Linked DNA regions of Arabidopsis thaliana. The protein of the gene in region 2 interacts with the protein of the main gene of each other region in a pairwise test. Each region holds a gene or a part of one and is shown on either strand. Other genes may lie near its edges. The genes, in order: TRS120 and EXO70H7.

The links.
Region 1: the proteins of EXO70H7 (region 2) and TRS120 interact in a two-hybrid assay, tested with the Arabidopsis thaliana proteins (one study listed by BioGRID).

What each region holds. Positions count from the first base shown.
Region 1 is NC_003076.8:3,493,041-3,501,286, forward strand, and holds TRS120 (TRS120), read left to right. Parts: upstream 1-2,154; 5' UTR 2,155-2,291; coding exon 2,292-2,702; intron 2,703-2,894; coding exon 2,895-3,101; intron 3,102-3,208; coding exon 3,209-3,391; intron 3,392-3,574; coding exon 3,575-3,684; intron 3,685-3,757; coding exon 3,758-3,817; intron 3,818-4,294; coding exon 4,295-4,583; intron 4,584-4,744; coding exon 4,745-5,034; intron 5,035-5,336; coding exon 5,337-6,217; intron 6,218-6,328; coding exon 6,329-7,234; intron 7,235-7,346; coding exon 7,347-7,570; 3' UTR 7,571-7,905; downstream 7,906-8,246. Other genes in the region: ALF4 (aberrant root formation protein), read right to left, coding at 1-176, 270-420, 534-593, 709-875, 1,200-1,272, 1,362-1,511, 1,610-1,789, 1,946-2,110. UniProt on the Arabidopsis thaliana protein: Specific subunit of the TRAPP II complex, a highly conserved vesicle tethering complex that is required for the proper transport of proteins in post-Golgi trafficking pathways to the growing cell plate in mitotic active cells.
Region 2 is NC_003076.8:24,063,364-24,068,065, forward strand, and holds EXO70H7 (exocyst subunit exo70 family protein H7), read right to left. Parts: upstream 2,808-4,702; 5' UTR 2,642-2,807; coding exon 737-2,641; coding exon of another isoform or gene 733-736; 3' UTR 514-732; downstream 1-513.

The DNA.
Region 1 (8,246 bases), about 21 Mb from region 2:
TTTCAACATCCCATAAGCTTGCCACCTTTTCACTGGATTGTTTTGAAGCTCATCAACAACACTTCCTAAAACCGCATTAGCCGCCTCTGCAACCTCATGGGAGATCTTTGCACAGATGAATAAAAGCGATGCACCCAAGCTGATGTCAGGGAAAGAGGTGATAAACTCATCATCATCTGTTCATTTTACAACCATGAGACATGTGATACGAGAACAGATGCGTGTTATTGAGAAATCAGGAAGAAGTGTTTTTGAGTATTGAGAGTAACCTCCAGCAACCGTGCTCATTAATTTTTCAGTGTCATTCCCCGTGATTAAACCAAGATGTGTTAAACCACAGGATGTCAAGAACGGTTCTAACTGAATCACCAGAGGAATACAAGAGGCCGCTTTGTCTCTGATGCTAACTGAAATAATAGCCTGCAAAACCAGACCAAATCTAAGGTATTGAAGAAAATCTATATGCTCATAATAAAAGAGAAAAGTCAGAAAAGTTCCATGATATCGAAACAAAGTTGGAATCAAGTACAAACCGTTATCTGTATCACATAGAGACAAAGTAGACAACGGACTTTTGCTTCTTCTTCGTTATTCTGTAAAACAAAGAAAAGAGATCAAATCAGGCAAAACGAATATTCAAATTAGAGAATTTACACTTTGGGTAGTGATTTAGGGAATCCTAATTGCCAATTTATCAAACTTACAGACCAGTTTTGAAGAAACGTCTCGAATTGAAGAGGCAATGCCTAGAGCCTTATCAAATAAATCTTCAACTTGCACGTCTGTTTCCAATGAAATGTCCTTCAAAACGTTCAGGACAATTGGAACTGCAACCTTTAATTGCTCGTAGTGACGCCTCTGGATCAAAATAAATACTGAAACCAGGAAATTTGAATAACTTTTTACTGCTTCAGTTCACGAAGACTAAATTAATATCTTCAGTAACAAAACTAGTTAGGGATTCAAACACAAACTTTAAGATATTCATACTTAAGTACAATCAAAGCAAGAGTATTACTAAAATTGCAGGTGCCAAGCTAAAATTCACTTTCATGAGAGAAGTCTATAAATTTTAGGATATTCATACTTGTGTACAATCAAAGCAAGAGTATTACTAAAACTGCAGGTGCCAGGCTAAAATTCACTTTCATGAGAGGAGTCTATAAATATCTTGAAAACGAGAAATCTTCAACTGGTACCTTTAGAGAGCCCATGCAATAAAGGAGTAGAACAAGTGGAGGCTGAATGATAGCACCGTGCAGCATCGAGTGCCTGGTTCAGAGTCATAAGGTGATCAAAAAGAACTTGTAATCTTCTTATGCCAAATACCAAGAAGGAAAAAGAAATTCCAGATCAATTACCTCACAAAGAATTGAAAGCATATCCCGTGGATTGCATGCTTCCACAAACCGATCAACGATTTCCTCAACTAACTGTAAACATCTGCTTGATATGTCTGCAAACTTGGAAGTTACTTTTGGCAAGTGAAATGACAGTGCATCTATAACATCCTGTAATAAAATGAATCGGGGAACAAAATCATAAGCTTGGTTCTCTAAACAAAATCCTTCCGTTTGGCTTTGAAAGCGATTCGAAAACTGAAAAGTACCTGATCCATTTGAGGAGATGATAAAACTTTCAAAATTTCATCTAATACTTCTTCAATAACATCGTTCTCCAGTTCATTGTTAGCATCCAAAGCTACGTTCTCATACAAAGAATCCAAACAGCTGACAAGTTCTGTCACAAAACTCTCAAAGTCTTGAAATCCTCCGGCTTCTTCAACTGACTGAAAAATCACAAAATTAGCGGCGAATTTTTCATTCGAGCTCCAAAAATCACGAAACAGCTAAGTATTCATCGATCTCAAAGCATCTAGAAATTCCACCCAGAAAACAAATTACACAAACCCGAAACGAGGAGAAGAAGAAGAGAGAAAGCTTACACTGAAACACAAAGCTAAAAGTTCTCGTACACGACGCGAAGGAGAAGTAGTGACAGTAGTTGACTCGGAGCTCCCTTCAATGGACGATTCCATAACGCCAAAACTTTTCAATTTCGCCCAAGTTTCGTTCACAGTGAGAGTATTAATAATCGCGAATTTAACCATATCGTTTGGTTATATGAATAGAGTTTAACCCCGGATAGTCTAATTCTAACTAAGAATAGTTTAATACCTGTACCCAAACAGACCACGTTCTCTCTCTCAACACTTTCTCGTTTTCGTCTCCTTCAGATCCGGTGCACTCACGCTCACCGAAAGATCCTCACTCTCCTTCTCTGATCTCGCCATGGAACCTGACGTCAGTATCGAGACTTTGTCGATCATTCGGATCGCCGTCCTTCCGATCGGCACTATTCCGCCGACGCTTCTCCGGGACTACCACTCGATGCTGCTCCGTCATCACACGATCGCGCTCTCAGCTATTAGCTCTTTCTACACTGAACATCAGAAATCTCCATTCACGAATCAGCCGTGGGATTCCGGCTCTCTCCGGTTCAAATTTGTGCTTGGTGGTTCTCCTCCGAGTCCTTGGGAGGATTTTCAGTCTAATCGGAAGATGCTCGCCGTGATCGGCCTTTGCCACTGTCCCTCGTCCCCTGATCTTGATTCTGTCACTGAAAAATTCAATGTCGCTTGTAAGAGTTATTCCTCGGCTCTTGTCCGGCGCTGCTTCGCTTTCTCCCCTGGCGATTCGCAAGTAAGTATATTAGTTTCCATGCTTCTTATCTGCTATGGCATTCTTAGCTCGATGCCGATGGATCTAGCTAGCTTTTTTCTGATTTGTCTCTACAGTTGATAGTGATGTCCATTTTTTGTACCAGTGATTTAGTTACTTGCTTATGGATGCGTTAGATTGACGATTTACTGAACAATGTACTGTCTTTTGCAGCTTGAAGATGGAGACAAGAAGGGTGAAAATTTGATTTTGTTTCCTCCATCTGACAAGCAAACTCAGGAGTTTCATTTACAAACAATGATGCAAGACATTGCCGCTTCGCTGTTAATGGAATTTGAGAAGTGGGTTCTTCAGGCAGAATCTGCTGGCACAATTTTGAAGACGCCTTTGGATTCCCAAGCTAGTCTCAACTCAGAGGAGGTTTATGTCTAGGTGTCCTATAATTTGGTCTACGTTTCATTTCTTCCTCTGGAAGCTTATAACTTATTAGCATAGTCTTCTAGGCTCACTAGTTTTGTTTAATGCAGGTTATTAAGGCCAAAAAGCGTAGGCTGGGACGTGCACAAAAAACTATAGGAGACTATTCCTTGTTGGCTGGTTCACCTGTTGATGCCAATGCTCATTATTCTACTGCTCTGGAACTGGCCAGATTGACTGGAGATTACTTCTGGTATGCCGGTGCCTTGGAAGGCAGTGTTTGTGCCTTACTGGTAAGGCTTTATGCAAATATATCTCTAAATGCATTGTTCTTACATTTTTAATAGTATTATAGTCCAAAAACATGGATAGTGATGTGCTGTTTATCGAAAGTGCACTGATTATGAAATTGCTCTCATCTGTCCCTCTTTAATTAAGTTTGCAATCATCTTAGTTTTCCGTTTTCTTAATATTAGGTAGATCGGATGGGTCAACGTGATGTGGCTTTAGAAGATGAAGTTAGATATCGATACACTAATGTTATCTTGCACTACAGAAAGTCATTTATTCAAGAAATTGCTCAGAGGTAATTCTACCAACCTGTTTGGCTTTCTTCTTCGATAAACTTAAGTAATAGCAATCAATTCTCTTCCTTGCAGAGTTTCGCCCCTAAGCTTTGAACTCGAAGCTACCCTTAAGCTGGCCAGATTCCTTTGCAGGTATCATTGTATGCTCTCTATTTCTTTAAATTATCATGGTGTGGTTTCCTTTCTTGCCGTCTCCTGCTTAAGTTTAAGGTTGCTATGGTATTTTTGTCTAGTAGGAAGCTATATCGCTACTAAAATTTAAATATAAACTCATGGGATCTTGTGTGTGTGTGGCTTTGATCCTCTAAAACTATCTGCAACATTCAACTTATAATACCAATATATTGAGATTACTATTAAGTATTAAGTGGCCTAGTGGAGGATGGCTGTATGTTAATGTTTTGTGATTGATGGTGATGTTAGCTGGGAAAAGAATAATTATTACGTTTTGAAAAAGCTAAAATACATGGGTTTTCCGTTTAGTATGAAATGATACTCTCTGGTTGTGGCAGCTTTTATGTTTTTTTAACCTTCTGGTTGCATCCTCATTTTTTTCTTGGTATCTTTGATCTTAATCATTCTTACAATGTCATTTTATGTGTTGTGCAGGAGGGAACTGGCTAAGGAAGTAGTAGAGCTATTAACAAATGCAGCTGATGGTGCAAAGTCTTTAATTGATGCCAGTGATAGGCTCATATTATATGTTGAAGTAGCGCGTTTATTTGGAGCCCTTGGTTATCAACGGAAAGCAGCCTTCTTCTGTAGGCAGGTCGCCCAATTGTATTTGCAGCAAGACAATCGATTGGCTGCTATCAGTGCCATGCAAGTTCTCTCTATGACAACTGATGCATACAGAATTCAAAGTAGGGCATCCATGTCAAAAGTGTCGGTTAACAATGTGAGTTTGCCAGCATAGGCATTATTTTTCCTCTCTTGTGTTTGATTGAGCATGGTTTTCTGGAGTTTTTTTTGTTATCATCACTTTTCACTATCTTGGTATTTATCCATGTATCATACTTTGATAATATATTGTATCTTCTCTTGTGTTTGTTGGTAAAGGAAACTGGGCGCCTACCTGACGCTGGGAAAATGCATCATCATTCCATTGTCTCCCTGTTCGAGTCCCATTGGAGCACTTTGCAGATGGTTGTGCTTAGGGAGATACTCCTCTCTGCTGTTCGTGCTGGAGATCCCTTAGCTGCATGGAGTGCTGCAGCTAGGCTTCTGAGGTGGCATTATCCTCTAATTACACCTTCAGGTCAAAATGGACTTGCTAATTCCCTTGCAAATTCAGCGGATAGATTACCTTCTGGAACTCGCTGTGCTGACCCTGCCTTGCCTTTTGTAAGGTATGTTTATCAGCAGTCAACCTTTTTGCTCTCAGAGATGTTTTGCTTGTGCACTCTCACCATCATGAAACAACCTAACTTGGTCATGTTATATTTCCTAGCACTCTAAGTAGAGCAACGAGATCAGAAAAATAAGTAATAATCTCTTTTAATCCATCTCTTGGGCTTCATATATGCCCAATATGTGTTTATTTTCAGGAATGTGTTCCATGTTTGGTTCTTAGCTGACTCTGGCAAAACTGTGTATGTTTTGGCAAATTTTAATGGTTCTTCTAAGCATGATTATTTTAATGAAATTTCAGGCTATTCTCTTTCCCACTCCATTCCTCCCAAGTGGACATCGTAAAACGCAATCCAGCAAGAGAAGATTGGTGGACAGGCTCTGCTCCTTCTGGGCCATTTATTTACACTCCTTTCAGCAAAGGAGATGCCAACGAAAGTAGCAAGCAGGAATTGATTTGGGTGGTCGGTGAACCAGTTCAGGTCTTAGTGGAGTTAGCAAATCCTTGTTGCTTCGATTTGCGGATTGATAGTATTTATCTCTCAGCTCACTCGAGTAACTTTGATGCGTTTCCTGTCAGTGTGGACATTCCCCCTAACTCTGCAAAAGTGATCACATTATCTGGTATTCCAACAGCTGTAGGACCAGTGACAATTCCAGGCTGCACAGTTCACTGCTTTGGTGTAATCACTGAACATGTGTTCAGGGATGTTGACAATCTGCTTCTTGGAGCAGCACAAGGACTTGTATTTTCTGACCCTTTCAGATCCTGCGGATCTGCAAAGCTACGACATGTATTTGTTCCTAACATATCAGTTGCTCCTCCATTGCCCCTCCTTGTGGCTAATGTTGTGGGTGGTGATGGTGCAATTATTCTGTATGAAGGTGAAATTCGGGAGGTGTGTATAAATTTTGCAAATGCTGGCACAGTTCCAATAGTACAGGCACATGTCTCGCTCTCTGGAAAGAATCAGGATGCTGTTATCTCGATCGCAGATGAAGCTTTACAGTCTGCTCTTCCCTTGAAACCTGGGGCACAAGTGACTCTGCCTGTGACTTTAAAAGCTTGGCATGTGGGTCCAACTGATTCTGACAATACTATGAGCAGTGGCAGGAATGCTGCGGGTAACACAGGAAGACCAAAAGACGGAACCAGTCCATCATTGCTTATTCACTACGCAGGTATTCATTTCTTCCTTGACGTATGTTTCTATGTATCTTACTTTTTCAGTGCTTCATGTATCCTCACGATGACTAATTACTAAAAGCATTTTTGTATTCATATTTTTGCAGGGCCATTGTCTAACAATGGGGATTCCCAAGAAAAAGAATCTATCGTGCCACCGGGCAGACGGCTTGTTGTTCCCTTACAAATTTGTGTTTTGCAAGGTTTGTCGTTTGTGAAAGCTCGTTTGCTTTCCATGGAAATCCCTGCACATGTGAGTGACAACCTTCGGGATGAAGACATTGAAAGAGAGAGCAATGCAGACAGCCTTGTCAAGATCAATCCCTTTAGGGGAAGCTGGGGACTACGGTTTCTTGAACTTGAGTTATCTAACCCAACAGATGTTGTTTTTGAAATCAGCGTCTTCGTTCAGCTGGAAAACTCTGCCAAGGAAGATGATTCTTCACCAGTACAAGATTCTCCAGAGTATGAATACCCGAAAACAAGAATCGACCGGGACTATTCTGCTAGGGTACTGATTCCATTGGAGCATTTTAAGCTACCGGTTCTTGATGGTTCATTCTTCACAAAGGACCCTCCACCTGGTAGCCCTTCAAGTAGTAGAAATCCGAGCTTCTCAGAGAAGAACACGAAAGCTGAGATAAACACATTGATCAAGAATCTCATCTCTAAGATAAAAGTTCGGTGGCAATCAGGAAGGAACAGCTCAGGAGAACTGGACATCAAGGATGCAATTCAGACAGCTCTCCAGACGACTGTGATGGATGTTTTGCTCCCAGATCCGCTAACATTTGGTTTCAGACTGGTCAGAAACGGTCTGGAGAAGGATCCTGAGACAAAGGCTGAGTCCCCATTTTCAAAGGGATCTGTTCTGTCACATGAAGTCACTCCTATGGAGGTTCTGGTCCGCAATAACACTAGCGAAGCTATCAAGTTGAATCTAAGTGTTACTTGCAGAGATGTAGCTGGACAGAACTGCACTGAAGGAGCTGATGCCACTGTCCTCTGGGCTGGTAAGATTCCTGTCACTAAGTAATAAATATTTGTGTAACATAGATATTTGCTGCCATTATAGCCGTGTGTATTACAATGAGATATGTAAAAGGTGGCTTATACTTTTGTCAGGTGCTCTTAGTGGAATCTCAATGGAAGTAGCGCCGCTGCAAGAAGCAAGACACTGTTTCTCACTCTTCTTCCTTGTTCCAGGAGAGTACACGATGGTAGCAGCTGCTGTAATTGAAGACGCTAACAATGTACTCAGAGCACGAGCAGGAACTGCTTCTCCAAACGAACCCATCTTCTGTCGTGGACCGCCTTTTCATGTCTGTGTAGCTGGAGGTGCACTGTGATTCGTTAACCAAATCAGGTCTTGGCATTATAATTTATACTCTGTTTTTTGCTCTGTTAGTTGATTTCTCGAGAATCAATTATAAGTTCCGGGTTTAAGTATGGGTCTTTATAAATATCTCTATAATTGCTTGTGTGTTTGTCTCTGTATTTACCTTGGGTCATCTTATGACCACCATGCATAGACTATGCTTTTTTGGAATTTTACGGCCTCGGTTCTGAGACTACTTTTCTCAAAGTAAGTGTTTGTACTCTGCTCAGTGGGATCACTTTCAGTGATAAAAAGAATAAAACGATTATAGCATAATATTAGCAAAAATAAAACTATTTAACCATGAATTCCTTCCCTATTGTGTATTGAAAAGGTCCACAGAGCAATGACATAACTTTCACCGTCAAATAAATACCATTCATTGATATAATCAAACAAGGCAGTGAAGTTTCCCCAAAGCTCGTATGTCGTGTATTAGTGGCCTTACGGATTAATCAATAACTAAAAAATAATACAATAATTTACTTTAGAAATAGTTACGATTATTAATTTAAAGCAAAAAAAAACTGACACAAAGTATCTTTGGCTAAAGAGGATTGTCCTATTCTATTGCGTTTGTTATTTTAAAATTCTGTGCAATTTATCTTTTTGGCTGAAAGACATGAACGAAGTTTGGTTTCATTTTG
Region 2 (4,702 bases):
TAAGATGGGCTCATAGAGTAAAACGAGGCGAGGGACCTATAAACCTCCCTTCATCATGCTATTTCATGATCTATTTTATAAAATAAAGATGTAGAAAAAAGTAAGCGTAATAACCGCAAAACAAATGATTTAAAACATGGCACATAATGAGGAGATTAAGTTCGGTTTACGTTTATTTTAGTACTAATTGTAACGTGAGACTACGTATCGGGAATCGCCTAATTAAAGCATTAATGCGAACCTGATTAGATTCACCGACCCTCCTATCGTGTCGACCTTTCTGTTTCTTAGAATTTTTTGGTAGTCTATGTACTAATAATGTCAGCTTCGTATTTATTTCATAAGCAATTTGCATTTGCAATTTGTTTTTTACTTTTATTTTTATTGTATTGTGGAATGTGGACTCGTACCAACATGAAGTTATATACCACCAAAAAAATTACAGTTAGTCAAAAGATTCACGAGTGAGAGCTACTTATGATTGTCTTTTACGTATATGTCTAATTGTCTATTTGCTCAATAATCTTTGTACTTTCTTTTGTCGTTGATAAAATCACAAAGTTCCAAAAGTAATCGAATGATTTGCTTTTAAGAAAAGAAGAGCTCAATAATTCAACATATATCTGTACACACATAATTGAATAAGATATTCGACACATCAATCACTATAGGTTACATTATAACCACACAAATTAAAGAAAAGAAAAAAAAAAAACTAATATCACGAGATTCTCATTCAATGACTACTACGTCCGCCACGAGCTTTACCCGTACTCGACGAACCAGTTCCGGATCCGGATCCGGATCCAGACCCACCAGCTGTCGAAACACTCCCTGAGCCTCTAGACCCAAAGTAAAGATCCGAGAGGTAATTCCCAATATCTTCAGGGGTATATCTGGAAATAGCCTCATTATCTCCAACCATACCATATGCAAACCGGTTCATCCGGTAAAACTCGGTACAAACCAGCATAAGTTTCTGACTCAACGTGATTTTAATCTGGTCCCTAAGTTTCGGGTCGGGTATAACCCACGAAGTCTGTTTCCGGTACGACGTCTCAAACTCATCGTTGAATCTCGCCACCAAAACCTTAGCTTCCTCCGGCGAAATCTCATCCGTCGGAATCTCCGGTAGTAAATCCAGCACTTTCCCCCACGCAAGCTTCTCAAACTTATCAGCATACAGCTTCACCTTCTCTTCATGCCTAAACACCCAATCGTCTCCGAGAAGAACCTTCAGAGTCGACGATCGGACTTTAACGACGACGTATTGGAGATTGTTAGCGAGGAAGAGATAAGACAAAGCAACGTCTTTATACGGCTGAGCTTTACCGTCGATTTTACAAAGCGTGAGTAAAATCACCCAAGCGATACGTACAGAGACCGGAGACGAATACAGATCCTCCGGATTCGCTTCATCGCCGCCGCTTATGTATAAAGAATCCGGCAACGGCGTCGGCACACTCAGCTTCCAGTTTTCGAATATCGCAGCGATGGAATCACTGTAATCAGCGAGGAAGGAGAGGTAATTCATAACGTAACGAGTCAGAGGATGAACACCACCACCGATGATCGGAGTCTTCGAGGTTTCTTTCTGAATCGCCGATTCGAAATCCGTCATCATCAACCTCGTCGCATCGCCGAGTCTAGCTAACGAGTTTATCACCTGAGATCTAACCGCAGCAGCTGATTCGAAGTAGAAGATTGATTCAATCTCAACATAGAGATTCGCAAGAGCTTCATACATATCCAGAAACCGAAACATTTTCTCCGGAGTTAACTTTTTGATCTTGGAAGCATATTCCGGGAAAGTGAAGAGAATCAATGCTCCTTCTTGAGTAATCTCAGTGAAAGAAGATTCAACGATTAAACCAGAGGAAGAGAAAACATGATCAGCTAAAATCCTCTCACCGAAGAACAATTTTCTAACAGCTAATTTCACAGCTTTTAGCCATGTTTTGATCTTTGATTCGAGAATCTCCCAATCCATTTTCTGAACCTGATGAAGATTGAATCTCTCCATTTGCAGATTATGCAGCGTCTCATCAACAATCGATTTCCGTACGGTTTTATAAACCCTAACGCATTCCTTAGCGTAGCCGGTAGAGATCATACAATCAGCAATCATCTTGAGATCATCCATTGCGTCGGAATCTCCACCGGAGAATCTATGCTCTTCGTCGGCGTTTTCTTCGTAACTGCTTTCGTCTTCGGAATCGGAGACACTAGTCGTAGTCGAAGTACTGAATCTCGATGATCTGTAAGAACGTACAGAGACACATTCAGGATCTAAATACTCACGGTTCGCTTTTAAAACACGATGAAACTCTGATTCGAGAAGCTTCATCGCCGATTGCATTAGATTCTGTGCGTAGATTAGCTTCTCCGAGGAAGGGTTAACGGAAACCAAACGATGCATCGTGCTTTGTAGATGTCTAACGGCTGTAACAAACTCCTCTGCTTCACGACGACTGTTGGTGGAGAAGAGGAAGTCGTCGGAGGAAGAAGCAGCCGGAGAAGTCCATTTTGATATGACGGTGTTGATGTTGCTCATACATTCTTGAACAGCTGATTCCGCGAGAGAGAGATGAGCTGTTGGTTTCTCCGGTGGAGGAGATGATCGGAATAAATGCTTCCCCATTTTTGTGGTTTGCTCTGTTTTTATTTTTTGGTACCGTCTCTTTTTATGTGTGTGAAGAAGAAGGTACTCTGTTTTTTTTTTTTGGTTACTCTTTAACAAAAATAAAACTTCTGGTTTGTTGTTTGTTTGTTTGGTTTTTGTAATCAAAAAGTGAAGTAGATAAGATGAGGAAGGTGGAGGAATGAGCTATATATATTATAGAAACGACGGCTTTTTCAATGAAATATACGTATATGCGTATATGTGAGTGTACGTATAGATATGTGGAGAAGAATGGTTGATTAGTCAAACGCGGTGTCAAATAAGACAAGACATTGGGGAAAGTCAATTCTGACGAAGTTTTTATTTTTACATTTATTGCTGCTTTCATCTGCAGCTGTGAATTTTGCATAGTTTACCGTTTTCGAAAAGAGGTGCTATTAAATACACTAGTAGTAATTCACCAACCAAATTACCAAAATATCACAAAAGGTAAATCTGTAGGATTCGTAAGAATTAATGTTTATATCCTAAAACTGTCAATATTAAATGTCACGAAATTGCAAAACTAATATACCCTTAACTGAAAAATCCTTGGCTTTGATTGGGTTAAGTACTAAGTAAGTACGTCATCTATGATCTATGATTCTTGGTTAAACAATAAACAATTAGTTTGAGAGAGTTGTTGAATATAAAATATATATTATAAGTGATACGATGATCTTAAATTCTTGGAAACTCTCGTGCACAAATCAGGACAGCAAAATTTTGTGTGGTATGAATTTTAGAATAAAATGAATGTTAGTACGTGTGTTACAGTTAGTTTTTATCAGTATTGTATTAATATATTTAACGGATGTAATGGAAAAACACAATTAGCTTTTTTTATGATACAAACTGTTAGTTAGCTTTCTACTAGATTTGTATTTTTGGAACCGAAGATTTTGAGGAAGGTTCCTTTGCCTTATAAGTTGAAAATTGCGTACTGCCGCCACATAAATGAAATCAACAGTTTATTTGTTAACAGATGTTCAAAGATCCTAAATTGCCAAAACACGACTACTAATTCATAGTTTTCTCCATCTCTTTAATTATTAGGGGAGAAGAGAACACAATACAAAATTTCCCATCTTAAACCATTTTCAGTAGGTTTCATCGGTGTCAAATATAAATCTAATTAGCAGTCAGATATTAAATCAATTTAAAGACTCTTGCTTCAGATTTTAAAATATTTTGTACAGTTAAATATGTTCCCAATCAAAATTTTATTGTGAAGTTAAAACTATTCATAAACACACAGCAGATGTTGAAATTACATCCTAAATTTCATAATCATATTCAAAATCATAGAAATTTAAAAGTTTAATATAGGATAGAAGTTAAAACTTTCACTGTCATTTTAATTGTGTTTAGTTAAGAATAGATGAAAACAACAAGACTGGAGACAATACGGCTCTTGATTCGGTAAAATTCTGATATTGTCTAAGCTCTCTAGTCTCAAAGCGATTTCATAAAATGATATAAAATTACCGTAATCAACCGACCATACTTTTAACTAAAAAGATAATTCAACCGACAATCAAACGAAACGGCAGTTACCAAAATTCAACGTGAGGAAGGTAGCATGATAATATATGCATGTAAATTATGTGTTTGAAGAATAATTATGTTATTTTAATCATTGTTTCTGAAATTAGTTTGCTAACGGAAAATTGCAATAATTTCTCTTTCTTTTGTCGTCGAAAAGTAAAACAATTCTAAAACGGGAAAAAGACAGTGAAAAAGAGAGAATCTAAAGATTGATTTTAACATAAGTAACACGTGAATCGAGTGGAAGTTGCCGACTAGGATAAAGCTAATGTCACCCACCACTCATGCAATTCAAATGGTCCTCATTCTCCATGGCCCCTAGGGATTTCGACTAGACAGGAGCCGACCCACTTGTTCTCTTTTTAGAGCACTTAGTTTTTGTTTTCTTTTATGTTTGGTCCGAGTAAATCATATAAAATTAAGAATTTGACCTTACTAAGTTTGACCGCTTTATTTACGGGTCTATCCAAATAACCTGTTTAAATTATATAT